2 linked regions of the Arabidopsis thaliana genome follow. The protein of the gene in region 1 interacts with the protein of each later gene in a pairwise test. Each region holds a gene or a part of one and is shown on either strand. Other genes may lie near its edges.

What was found.
Region 2: the proteins of RD26 (region 1) and HVA22D interact in a two-hybrid assay, tested with the Arabidopsis thaliana proteins (one large-scale study listed by BioGRID).

The regions. Positions count from the first base shown.
Region 1 is NC_003075.7:13,705,655-13,712,933, forward strand, and holds RD26 (NAC (No Apical Meristem) domain transcriptional regulator superfamily protein), read right to left. Parts: upstream 3,360-7,279; coding exon 3,151-3,359; exon of another isoform or gene 3,093-3,150; coding exon 2,801-3,092; intron 2,718-2,800; coding exon 2,274-2,717; 3' UTR 2,246-2,273; downstream 1-2,245. Other genes in the region: AT4G27400 (Late embryogenesis abundant (LEA) protein-like protein), read left to right, coding at 60-396, 527-983; AT4G27415 (uncharacterized protein), read left to right, coding at 4,898-5,032; ABCG9 (ABC-2 type transporter family protein), read right to left, coding at 6,780-7,279. UniProt on the Arabidopsis thaliana protein: Transcription factors that bind specifically to the 5'-CATGTG-3' motif and with bipartite regions with 5'-CGTr-3' and 5'-YACG-3' as cores.
Region 2 is NC_003075.7:12,823,829-12,830,573, forward strand, and holds HVA22D (HVA22 homologue D), read left to right. Parts: upstream 1-4,027; 5' UTR 4,028-4,231; coding exon 4,232-4,278; intron 4,279-4,398; coding exon 4,399-4,425; exon of another isoform or gene 4,426-4,553; coding exon 4,554-4,860; intron 4,861-5,012; coding exon of another isoform or gene 5,013-5,032; intron 5,033-5,127; coding exon 5,128-5,154; coding exon of another isoform or gene 5,155-5,191; 3' UTR 5,192-5,475; downstream 5,476-6,745. Other genes in the region: SAE1A (SUMO-activating enzyme 1A), read left to right, coding at 430-481, 588-783, 861-940, 1,034-1,150, 1,323-1,373, 1,460-1,526, 1,650-1,753, 1,833-1,937 and 1 more; AT4G24950 (uncharacterized protein), read left to right, coding at 2,454-2,927.

The DNA of each region.
Region 1 (7,279 bases):
TTTTGATTAATTTTAGATTTTGAAAATATGTTTTAAGATTTGGATATGATCTTTTGTAGCGGTAAAACCCAACTGCGAATCCTATGGATCAATTTGTCTAGATCCGAGGTTCATAGGTGGTGATGGAATTGTGTTCTACTTCCATGGAAAGAGCAATGAACATTTTAGCATTGTCTCGGACCCTGACTTTCAGATCAATGCTAGGTTCACTGGTCATAGACCTGCTGGCCGCACTAGAGACTTTACATGGATCCAAGCTCTCGGCTTCCTCTTTAACTCCCACAAATTCTCCCTTGAGACCACCAAAGTCGCCACTTGGGACAGCAACCTTGATCACCTCAAGTTCACTATCGACGGCCAAGATTTAATTATCCCTCAAGAAACTTTATCCACTTGGTAATCATAGAAACTCAAATTTTACCCTATCATTTTTGTAGGTTGCGATTGTTTCAACTTTTAAACGTCATCTTTGTCTATTCGTTTAGATTTTCATGTAAACACTCATTATTTTAATGCATATTATCAGGTACTCATCCGACAAAGACATCAAGATTGAAAGGTTGACAGAGAAGAACAGTGTGATCGTGACTATCAAAGACAAAGCTGAGATCATGGTCAACGTGGTTCCAGTGACCAAAGAAGATGATAGAATCCACAACTACAAATTACCTGTAGATGACTGTTTTGCCCATTTTGAGGTCCAGTTCAAGTTTATTAATCTGTCCCCAAAAGTCGATGGAATCTTGGGACGCACTTATAGACCCGATTTTAAGAATCCGGCTAAACCAGGAGTCGTAATGCCAGTGGTGGGAGGTGAAGATAGCTTTAGGACATCTTCTCTGCTCTCTCATGTTTGCAAAACTTGTTTGTTCTCTGAAGATCCCGCCGTTGCGAGTGGCTCTGTCAAGCCCAAAAGTACATACGCATTGTTAGATTGCAGCCGTGGTGCGTCTTCCGGCTATGGACTCGTCTGCAGAAAGTAGTTACCAATACAAACTCAGTTTGCTAAGAATTACAGATATTAAAAGTATATTGTTATGTTTTGTGTACGTATAAAATTTATATGTTTGTCAAAATAAAACAGAGGAATAAGGTAATTAAGAACCAAATTCTAAAGAAAGTAATTGTAACTCAGTTATTTACATGTACCAGATTATCTAATCCTTAAGAAAACCATTATATTTTTGTTGTGCTCCAAATACGCAGTAATCATTTAGAGCCTAGCGTAAATTGATAAAAAGGTTATCTTCTATTTGAACACTGACTTCAAAACCCAACTTAATTAAGACATCAAAAGATGTTAAGCATCACACTCTTGGATCCGGCTATTAATATATACAATGTACTTTTGTTGTTTTAAGATTTCCAAAAGTCAAATTAATAAAATGAGCAGCTTATTGCAGCAAGTTACAATGCTCCTAATATAAGGACCGATAAGTGTGGATCACGCTCGTGTGGACGTAACTTCTAAAGACTTTTTCTTTATTTTTGAAGTTTCAAGTTTTTAAAGTCATATACATTTCAACTTAATGCATGTGTGGGTGATGCCCAGATAAGGCACACAAACCCGGCAACTCCCGATCTCAACGTGAAGTAAAATAGTTTATTTTAAATAAATTTACAGAGTGGCGTCTACAAATTCACAATCAACACGTTTCTTTTGACACCAGTCGACACATAATAAAACAGGAAGAATAAACTAGACATGAAGATCTCAAACACCTCTTCGTTAATGCTGTTTTTTCTTGCGGCCATGTTATGTTTCTTGCGAGCCAAGTCACAAGGAGTTTACTGCAGCAACCCTTAGGAACGATGCTTCCAAAAGTACATACTGTGTCCGCAAGAATGTCCCACCACCGGTGCCGCAAACTCTATGAACAGAGTCTGTTACGTAGAGTACTCTGCAACTCCGAGTGTCGCAGTAAGCGAAAATGCCTTTGAACTTTTTGTATTAAGCTTTTTACCAAATTTTGGGTGTTAAGTTATTCAATTCAGAACTTAAACCGTTTTGTGCAAATGGTATCAACACATAACCGGTGTAAAAATATTGGTAACCATTTATTTTTCTCTCCGTTGAGAAACATTACACATTTGTGGGCCGTCAAGTTGGATCAAACTAGTCCCCAGTCGAGCCTTTTTCCTTTGTGGAATCCTAAGCCTCACCGAATCGGTAAAAGCCCCATATAAATCCCTATTATTTACATCAATTGCCACTCTACTATCTCCAAGTTTTTTTTTTACTTTTTTCACCCATCAGTAACTTCACATCTCTCTCATTGCCTAAACTCGAATGTTTGACCCGAAACACCAAACCCACTCGAGCTGTACCCGAAACTCTGAGTCAACCCGCTCGAGTTCTGCTGCCGATTCACATGCCCACTCTCCGCCTCACCTTCCGCCGCTCGAAACGCATCGTAACCACCGTAACTCGGTAATCCATTGGTCGGAGCTAGCTCTGGAATTGGATTAAGACCTGCCAAGCTAGCCCAATCAAAGTTCCCGTTAAGAATCGTCCTGAGCGAATTCATCCGAGGAAGATTAAAAGACTGGTCTTTTATCTCCGGGAACGAATCAAGAACGTCGTCAAGCTGTGATGAAGAAGACGATGACGACCCATTCGTGCTATGCTCTTCACGACAAGCTTGAACAGGAGTAACAGCTTGTCTCTGAGATCCAGATGTTTTCTTGTAAATTCGACACAACACCCAATCATCCAACTGTAACAAAGAAGCAAACTTTATCAGATTTTGATTTCAATTTTAACGAATTTGGATCTGGGAAAGTTTCAGTCTTTATTTACCTTGGAGCTTCCATGGCTACGAGAATGTTCTATTAAGCGATACTCGTGCATAATCCAGTTGGTTTTAGTGCCTTTGGGAGCTTTTCCGGCGTAAAAGACCAGAGCTTTTTTAATCCCGACACGACGACCATCCGCCGTGATAATTTTGTCAGTACCCGTTGCTTTCCAATAACCCGACCCGGCTACTCTATTGGGTCTTGACCCGTTCGGATATTTCCGATCTCTTGGGCTAAAGAAATACCATTCCTTCTCTCCAAACAAAGCCTTACCTAAATAGTTACAATTATACTCCCTTTAGTTTTAACATTTTCTCAAATTAAACCCAAAAGTATGACAATTGAAAATAACACCCTACAAATGTGAAACATGTTTGCTTACTTGGCAAATCCCAAGGATCGAACTTGTAGAGATCGATGTCTCCGATGACCTGGAGAGAGAAATGATAGCCTGCAACTTTCCGACATAGATACTGAACAAGAAGCTCTTCATCTGTCGGATAAAATCTAAAACCTGGTGGCAAACTCAACTGGGCTAACGGATCTTTCTCTCTAACACCCATTTATACTCTTCTACTTCGATTCCTCAGCAACCAAAAAAAAAAAGATTTCAAGTTTCGAACTCTAAAAACCCAAATTATATGTTTTTGTTTTTATGTTCGTCGATCTTTTGGACAATATAGTAAGTAGTTGGTTTATATAGGCTACGGAAAAGCCAAAGGTTCTTCAAGGATAAGTACGGTCGTCCTTGTCTTACTGTTCTAAAATCTAATTACGATTTTCTTTGTGGACCCGTTTAACCATTTAGATACTGCCACGTCTATGAACTGGCCGACCTTATCGATGTGTTGTACAATATTTTCCAGCGATATAAATGTGCAAAAAACACGAGGAAAATTTTCTCATGAGTAAGAAATTTGTGTACTACGATTATGAGAAAAGTCCGCTGAGTGATTGCAGTAATTTATTTTTTCTTATTCCATCGTGACATGTAAAATGTCTAAATATTTACTAGAAATATTCTAATTATAGTAAGTTTTTTTCCACTGAGAAAGCAATGAAGCTTTATTATTTCTATATTCGACTATATTGGTGCCGTTCGGGTGCATGAACCGTCAGGAAAAGCTAAAGTTTATCGACACGTGTTAAGCCAGTTGTCCTTTCTTCTAGAATTTTGATCAAAAGCCTAACAACGATGTGTATCAAAATGCTCCAAATAATTAGAGGCCAGTTCGATATTTAGTTTGTCCTGAAGCACTCGATCACTACATAGATTGGAGTCAGAAAAAGAAAAGAAGAAGCACTAACTATTTGACAGATAAATCTATTGAGTAAAACAAATGGCACTAAGACGTTTTTATGAACAAAAGAGTATTAATCAGACACGCGTGGAATGCATTTTCCCGTCCGTGTGAATTGTACACGTGTTGGGAGAGTTAGGCAAGACTTCAATATAAAAGAATCAAAAGAGACAAAAAAGAAGAAAAAGTAATAATAAAAACAGCAGAAAATATTGAACAAGTGTACAAACTACAAAGTTCTAACTAAAATAAATTGAAAAGATACGTTAACATAAGACACGTATATACAGAACACTAATAGTATGATTTTAATATTTTTTAGTTAAAGATAATAACATTTGAGAATATATGATCGTTTGTATTATACCATTAAGATTATCTCACAAATGTAGCAAGTAGTCTCTTTGTTTTTGATTAAAGGATAAATTTCAAGTTTTGTCAGAACAACTAAATTCGATTTTTATATATATTTCAATGATTATCTCATAAAAGACTTATTTCATATATTTTAGTTTATATTTAAACAAAAAGAGGTTAATTAGGGTTTCGTTCACTCAAGAAATACTAGAAATGGCCTAAGAAGTTGACAAGTGAATATTTGGACCATGCTGAACAGGTCAGAGAAGCCTTTTTATATATAAACATGTGACGCGATTCAAAGAACTCGATTCTTCTTCTTCTTGATAATTCTTTTTTTTTTGTTCTTAATTATTATTATTCTCTACAAATCGTTTTCAATTGCTTTTCGGATTTTTAGATTTTAGTGAACGTGGAGAATTCTTGTTCACAGAGAGATGGACATGCCCACCCATTTCTTTTGTAAGATAATAATTTCTGAATATCAGCAAAGATACGACAAGTTTGGTTCAACGATTCGCATAACTGCAAAATGTGTTGATAAGAAACTCATCAATCGCTATTCAATTAGCGTATAATGCTCTTATGATCCTGACAAAAAAATAAATTAAGAGATATGGTTTTGATGACAATGAGGTAAAGAACAGATTGCCATAATCTAAACTTGTTCAAAAAATTCTTCAATGAATTTATTTTATTTTAATAACATTTTTCTACTTTTTTTTCAAAAATACATTTTAATTGACAGAAATTTACCACTTTTGCGATAAATATCGTTGGTGACGTTTAAATCATTTTAATATTTGTTTAGAGAATAAATAGGTAGACTTCTATTTAATGAGTTCTAAACGTATATTATATATGGTCTTTTCTAAAGTATGTTTTTCTCTGCCAAGTTACATGTTGGTTAAAGCTTTAAAAGAGATAAGGTGATCACGAAGGTTTACCAAAAAGAAAAAGAGAGAAAACAAAAACAAAAGGCATTATGCTTTCTAAATGCATAGTCTATATATGCACTCTACATTTGTACATAATTAATTCGACAATACTTATAGTAGATAAGCAAAATCTGGACTACATAATTAATTCGACACTCATAATTGATTTAGTGATGACTATTCCATTCTGAATTTTAGACTCTTCTAAAATTTTGTAGATGGTAGCACCTAATCTATATAGAGATCGATGATTCTTAGACCCTTTTTTACCAATGAAATGTTTAAATAGTTCCCACTTCAACACAATTCTTCCAAAAATGACAAACTTCAACATATATATATATATATATATATATATATATATATATATATATATATAGTTTTAAATGAACTTAAAAACATAAATTGGAAAATGGTTATTAATTAAGAAGACAATTCTAAGTGTAAAATAGCGATCTGTAGCTGCAATTGTTTTCTGAAATTGTTGAATAATTATTTTGTTCGTATATATGATGAATAGCGTACAACATACAAAACAATCAGCTGGTTTATATATTAAAAATAAAATGAGAAACTAAGAAGGCCGCAATGGGTACCAGCGACTAATTAATTAACTTTTTAAGTCCTCTTCCTAATTTTCTTTAAACAGAAAAATTAAAATAATTTTATTATCTCATTTATGTAAATTAGAGTTTTATGTTTTCTCAAACGCTTGATGTCTTGTTTTTTTTGTTCTTTAATTTTATTTATAACACATAAAAACGTTACTTTGCAAGAAACTACAAAAAAAATTGGCTGAATTTTTTAGGGTATTGTCTGGAAACCAAGTTAAATCATTGTTCCCCTAACACCACTTATTGCTTGAAGTAATCTCAAATAATGGGTTATGTGATCATATCATTTGGATAGGAGGCTTGGAAGCCCATAGACCATAGTACGTTTACTATATATGCACCACAAATTCGTCAGCAGCTCGAATACAATTTCTTCATTTGGTTTTTGGTTTATATCAGAATATGACTTTTTAAAAGTGATCAGATAAAACCGCGTGAGCTAAAAATGTCTTTAGATGTACGAATTAATGAAGACTGGAATGATAACGTGTAAAGTGTGTTGGACTGGGAGCGCATACCAATAAGCAAACATGAATTTGGCTTTGAACTTTCCTTTTATACACACACAGAACATGTTCTTCACATTATACTACTTAGATTCTGATATAACTTGGACCACTTCAGCCGGACCAAATCAATCTCTCAAACTATAATTGATTTAACAAAAAACAATAATGCAATAAGAACTTATTGCTGTTATACATTCGTTCTTAATTACTCAAAAAAGTTCTAAAATCAAAAACAAATAAAAAGTGGAGATTATAACTAAGTAATCAGCCAGATTTGGTCTTACCAATCCTCGTCAAAGCGATATAAGCTATAACTCTATAAACAACAAGCATCGCAGTTAAAGCTAAGGCAGAGACTAATCCACTATTAAACCCTATATGCTTGATACCTTCAAAGTCACCAACATGACACCTCAATTTCCCATTATCGCCACATGGATACAACTCATTCGCCGTGTACTGACCCAATATCAGTAGTTTATATGTATAGTAACCGATTGATACGTATTTAATCCAAGAGATGAACACTGGTACATGTTGAACGTAGTATCCTCCTGCTAACAAAAACGTGAGCATTATGACTGACCCGAGTGTTGTGGCTGACTTCTGGTCCATAACTAGGGCACCTAGGGCTAGCCCTAGCCCACCCGAGACAAGGACATGGACGAGGAGTACCAAAAGGGTCACAAAAAAGTTTGCGAGGTTATGGTTTAGACCGGCCATCCAATATGTGATGACAAGAAAACAAGTTGGTAATATAAGCT
Region 2 (6,745 bases), 880 kb from region 1:
TTGAGTCGGCTTTGAGTACTAAACTCTTACTATTTGGCCATTTTAGGAGAATGCTTAATGGTCCCTTCTTAAATGCGGATTTAGATCATTAAAATTGTATTTTTTTTTGCTTCTCCTCCATTCGATTACTTTCTCTTGGCTTCAGTTTTGGTTTTTATTTGTTTGTCTTTGTCTTAAGAGAATTTTAGTTAATACCTATTATTGGTTTAGCGTTTGGATTCTGCTTCTAGACTAGTGCATTCCTAATTATGAGCTCCCTTAGGTTGTTCTGAGATGAGAGTTTTGTTTTTTAACTATTAAGATTGATGTATTCATTCATATTTTGCTTTTTGCTGAAGCTTATTTTATTGATACACTACACTACCATGTAATTACTCTGTAAGCTTGGCACGATTTGATATAGTGTGAGGTTGGTGTTTTGCCTTGCAGATTGACCAAAGCTCATATCTTGGTATCTGGAATTAAGGGGACTGTTGCTGAGGTAGCTGTAACTCTATAATTCATGCTGAGATGTCATGCTTTTCAATTAGTTTAATCTAATGGTATCTTACTGCATTTCCTGGCTTTGTTTCCATTTGGTGGGTTAGTTTTGCAAGAACATTGTGCTGGCAGGAGTTGGTTCAGTGACTTTAATGGATGATCGTTTAGCAAACATGGAGGCCTTGAACGCTAACTTTTTGATTCCGCCTGATGAAAATGTTTACAGTGGCAAAACTGTGGCTGAGATTTGTAGTGATTCACTCAAGGATTTCAACCCTATGGTCCGTGTTTCCGTAGAGAAAGGTTTCCCTCTAATACCTCTCCGTTAATGTTTTAAAAACATACCGACTATTATCTGATCAATTTTTCAAATCTTTCAGGTGATTTGTCAATGCTTGGCACTGATTTTTTTGAGCAGTTTGATGTCGTAGTTATAGGCTATGGTTCTCGTGCTACCAAAGTATTTATACCACCTTTTACATATTTACCACTTGCTTTCATCTTTAGTTGCTCCATACATCTCTTCATGACGTTGTCTGTTTATTTTTTGCAGAAATATGTCAATGAAAAATGTCGGAAGTTAAAGAAACGTGTCGCATTCTATACAGTCGATTGTAGAGACTCATGTGGTGAAATCTTTGTGGACCTCCAAGATTACAAGTACACAAAGGTACTTGCATGATTTGTTGTTGCATTTCTTCTGTTGATTATGTGCTGTTTTGACATTTCATCTGGCTTATTTTTAAATTTCTATAATTCCATTGAACATTTAAACTTCATTAACAACTTCTAATTTGCACAATGTCCTTTGTATTGTTTTCCTGATAATTTTCTTTCCACAGAAAAAGCTTGAAGAGATGGTGGAATGCGAACTAAATTTTCCAAGTTTTCAGGTACAATTTAACACTAGTTCTCGCTACTAATAATCCTTACATCTGCATAGGATTTTGTGATAAATTAGATTTGTTTATTGCCACAGGAAGCTATATCGGTACCATGGAAACCGATTCCTCGGAGAACAGCAAAGCTCTACTTTGCTATGAGAGGTAGTTACTAGTTACTACAGCTGATTTCTTTATTACTTTCCACAAATGAAAATTGAGATCCCAAGGCAGATACATACAACAAAAATTCTTCACTAATCTTTGGCATTCTCATGAAATTTTCAGTAATAGAAGTGTTTGAAGAGAGTGAAGGGCGTAAACATGGAGAATGTTCGCTACTCGATCTTGCCAGAGTCTTGGAAATCAAAAAGCAACTCTGTGAGGCAAACGTAAGTGTGTTTAGTTGTTTTATCATTATTTAGAAATGTCACTGCCAGGTTCACTGAATAACTGAATATTGTCTCTCAGTCTGTGAGCGAGAGCCATATACCAGATATTCTCTTGGAGAGACTTATCACTGGTACTACTGAATTCCCGCCAGTTTGTGCCATTGTGGGAGGAATATTAGCACAGGTTCTCTCTCTCTCACTTTCACTCTCTTATCGCATTCGAATCTTCTCACTAGAAACTTGTAATTTGACAAGAAAGATTTTTTGATGTGGCAGGAGGTGATCAAAGCAGTATCAGGCAAAGGAGACCCGTTGAAAAACTTCTTCTACTATGATGGTGAAGATGGGAAAGGTGTGATGGAAGACATTTCCGACTCTTTTACCTCTTAAACAACCAGTGGGCCTTGATTTAGTTTAAACTCTATAATCTCTGAGATTCCATGTATATCTCAATCGTTTGTTTTTTGCCTTCACATTATGAACAAATTTAATGCAGAATTTAGTGGAGGATCAGTTGTGATTTTCCTTCGGTAAAATCATTTTCAGTTATTGACATTTGAATTGTTCAATTTCAAATTTCAAATATTATAATTCAATTCAAAGACTAGCTAAGTTTTTAAAAGTAATTAGTGAGAGATCTCACAGTGATATAAACCACATTCATTTTAATTCATAGCAAAGTAAATGGTAAGAAATGAAAATGGAAGAAAGAGAGGAGAGTAGTTCACACGAACATCTGAAGGAGAAGTTGAGAGAGCTTGAGGAGGAATGGACAGCCATGAAAACAGGTAAAAACTCATCTGCGGTTTCATGGATTACCGTGGAAGATGCTCTTGAGTATGTCGAAAACTCTCCCAGAAACCTAATGCTCTCTCTCCAACACAAACCAAAGGCAGAGATGATACAAGAAATATCGCCATTAAGGAGAAAACTCTTTCACGACTCTGATGATGATGATCAAACTAAGAAGACGACATTGCTTTCTCATTCATCTTGTTGGTCTTCGAATGTGACGAGTTCGAGTGATACCACGAAAGCAAAGAAGAAGACAACGATTAGAAGATTTGTTTCTGTTACAATGGTGCTGCTTTTGTCATGGGTTTTAGTTGTGTTGATGAACCACTTTGATCATCTCTCCATGAATACACAAATCATTACTTTGGTTCCTACTTGATATTTTTATTTATTTTGGTTTGAGAATGTTCATCAATCTCAATAAATAAAAAAAGTTTAGTTTTGTATTATTACCTCTCGCCTTCTCTTTTAATTCATTGAACCTCTTCAACTTTGGCTGTAACTATGTTGGTTAAAACAGTATAAGTAATGTATGTATTTATGGTTTTAGGAAAATCTTACAAAATAATACTCTATCATTGGATGAAGAAGCAAAAACTACACCCCTCTACATCTTTTCTATTCATAAACTTTTTTGGGGAAAGAACTACATTGGTGGTGATTAGGTGCATCGGTGACACTAATGTTGAAAATATGTTTTGTGTAAAATTAGTATGGTTAAAGCTAATCATTTAGTTGAGCAAAAAAAGATGCTAATCATTTAAATAGAAAATGGACTCAAACAAAAGAAGGCCACACATTCAATTGTTACATCTTTATTGGGTTTTCATTTTTGGAAGCTATTTTTATGAATTTGCAGTGTTTTGTTGCCCAAAAGAAAAAAAGCATAATTCCAAGTATATCTTTCATTTTGAATCCATCAGTCATATGTTTTACTTGAATCAACTATTTGTTGGGTTTTACGAAGTTACTTGTTAAGAAGATTCAAAATATATATAATTAGACTATCAAAGGAACAAAAGAATGTAATTGGGTCATAACTTTTTCCGAAGCTTACGTGACTTGGGAGAAAATCAAACCCATTAGTTTCACCCTTAATCAAACTAATCACAAATTTTGAACTTTGCAAAGAAGGTAAAATAATAATCAGCAAAAAGATTAATAAAATGACAAAAGTATCTCTTTAAAAGATTAATAAAGAAATAAAGAAATGACATAAGCTCTCACCGACCGACGTCTTGTCTTTTTTATTCTTAAGGTCGGTGCCATGTCGACGCCTTCAAGCTTAGAATCTCGCCACGTGTGGGATAAACTAACCGAACCCAATCGAACCAGACAGACCAAAGACAGACCAGACCGGACTAGTTGTATGTCGGCATCAGCGTTCTAGTACGACGTTAATTAAAAAAATAAAAATAAAATATTATTTATGATATTCCACCAATAAGAGCCAATGAAAAGTGTGTGAACCAACCAACTTCTGTAGCAAACCGTACCATTTCTCTCTTAGATACCTTTACCTTCCTTCTATAAATTAGGTTCTTCCTTTCACATTTCTTTGTCTTCTTCTTCTACATAAAATTGATTCGCCTCGAAATTTACACAGACTTGTCGCTCTCTCTTTCTCTCTTATTTCACAGAGCCCCTAAACATTTCCAAAAATCTTGCAAAGGAAGAAAAACAATGGACAAATTTTGGACTTTCCTCACTGCTCTTCATTCAGGCGCTGGGTAATTATTCTTAATCTTAATTTTCCTTCCATTATGTTTCCAAAATTAGTTACTTTTTGATTTCCTCTGTTTCGATTTCTAATCCAAACCGTAATCGATTTGTTGGTAATGTATATGCAGGCCTATCGTGATGTTACTTTATCCATTGTAAGTTTCTCTCTTGTTAAACCCTTTAACAAAAGAAAAAGTTTCTTTCTGGTTCGATCTCTCTACTTTTTGTTGAAGATTAAAAACAAAAATCTGTGAATATTTACTAATTATGTTTTTGATTACAGGTACGCATCGGTGATAGCAATGGAGAGCACAACAAAAGTGGACGATGAACAGTGGCTTGCGTATTGGATAATATATTCGTTCCTCTCACTCACGGAACTGATTCTGCAATCGCTTATTGAGTGGATTCCGATTTGGTATACGGTGAAACTTGTGTTCGTGGCTTGGCTAGTTCTTCCTCAGTTTCAAGGCGCAGCTTTTATCTACAACCGTGTTGTTAGAGAACAGTTCAAGAAACACGGCGTCCTCCGCTCCACCCACTCCAAGCCCACCAAGCCCAACATCCTCCACTCCATTTTCCCCCACCGGGTAAATTTTTTATCTTTTTGGTTTTGAGATTCATAAAGCAAAAAAAAAAAGTAAAAGTAACCATTAGTTTTAGTATTCTTTGGTGGGTCAAAGAACGAATCTTTGTTTATAAAGATTAATAATGCATTGAATATAGTCCTAGGAAACGTAAGAGTGTGCCTAATTCTCTAACGTAGCGACCATGAGCGTATAACAAGTGTTTTGTATACTTTTGTTAATTCTTTAATTCGTTTTTAAATTAATTGTGAATTTTAAAATGTGATATAGGAGGGACACGAGGCTCACAGTCACTGAATCAGAAGGGTGGAGCAGACAGAAGAAGCCTGACTAGTATTATTGTAATGGTCTTGGTGGTGGTCCCATCATGTCCCTGTCTAATCTACTTTTTACTTTATTTTTATTTATCACAAAAAATGGGTTTAGGAATGTTGATGATGATGACTGATGAGGTGTGTAATCGTTTTTAAATTAGAAAATGGCTTCTTCTGCTTGTATGATTGTATCGCTAATCTTCCACGCGTATTTCTTTAATGTCAACGCTAATAATTTCCAATTGTGTCCCTTCTTGAACTTATCATACATATTTTGATGACGCAAATATCTCACCGAATCAAACCCATAACAGTATATCCCTTTTTTTGGGGCCTAAAACCAAAATTGAAGTGAGGCTTACAGAGTTAGAACGCAATTTAAACCAGTGACTAATGTTTTGATTGGTTCTCCCTCTGCCACCTGCAAACGCTGCGTTTGCGGGTGGTAGCGGTTGTTAGCGTTTGACACTAATCATAGAAACCGCTAGATACCGTTTTGGACCGCTTGAAATCGCCAGATTTCAAAAGCTTCTTCCCGTAAGCGTTTGCGGTTGCGGGCGGTAGCGGTTAGGTTAATTTTTTTTTTTAATTAATTAAAATAATTATATCTTCCATCCAAACCCTATATATTTTATTCTTATCAGAAAACCCTAATCAATATATTGAAACCCTATTTTCTCAATTATGGCATCTACCCAAACTAACGAAAATCAAAATCAAAATCAAAAATCAAACGTAAGTATGATCTATCCTTTCATCCATTCATTAGCTAGTGTAATTCTCTGAGTATTTCATGGCATCGTCATTTTTTTTATTTTGTATTTTTTTGAGTTTTTTTATTGAATATATGTTTTGATTTGTTTTCTCGATTAGAAAATTATTTGGTCAGACGAGATGACCCGTTTCTTGTTAGAACTTTATCATATGTATAGAGGCAATCCGGAAAATCCACGAGTTCAACGTTATTTACAGTTTATTACACTACTTGATGCAATTTTTGGTGATGTACCAAATGCATAAAGTACTAAGCTTTTTCTTACAAAATTTATTTATTTTTGAATTTAATGTTTTATTTATGGTTTTAATTATTAAGCATGTTTAATTTTCTAATATTATCAATTTATCATAATAATATATTGTATTTTTTCTTTTAAAATTAATATATTATATTTATTTTGGTTATTTTTTATTTAATTACTATCGCACTCGCTGATTTACCAGTCATAAAACTTCCGTAAACGCACCCATTATCAAACGCTCAACCAGTCGTTCAAAACGCTTGATAATGCTTGAAACCGCAACCGCCTGTTTCCGCAAACTCCCGCAACCGCAACCGCAATTGATTAATGATTTATGTTACACGGTTTTGAAGCAAGCATGAATTATATCACATGTATAATATTCTTACACATACTCTTAGATTGAAGTAAAGAACTAGTACCAATCAATTCCTCTAAGAGAAACCTAAGTTAGCTATACAATGGAACACACAAGGCCAACTTCAATTATGCATTTTAAGTTTTTAACCAAACCACACACGCAAAAAAACTTAAAGATCAGACTAACACAATTCA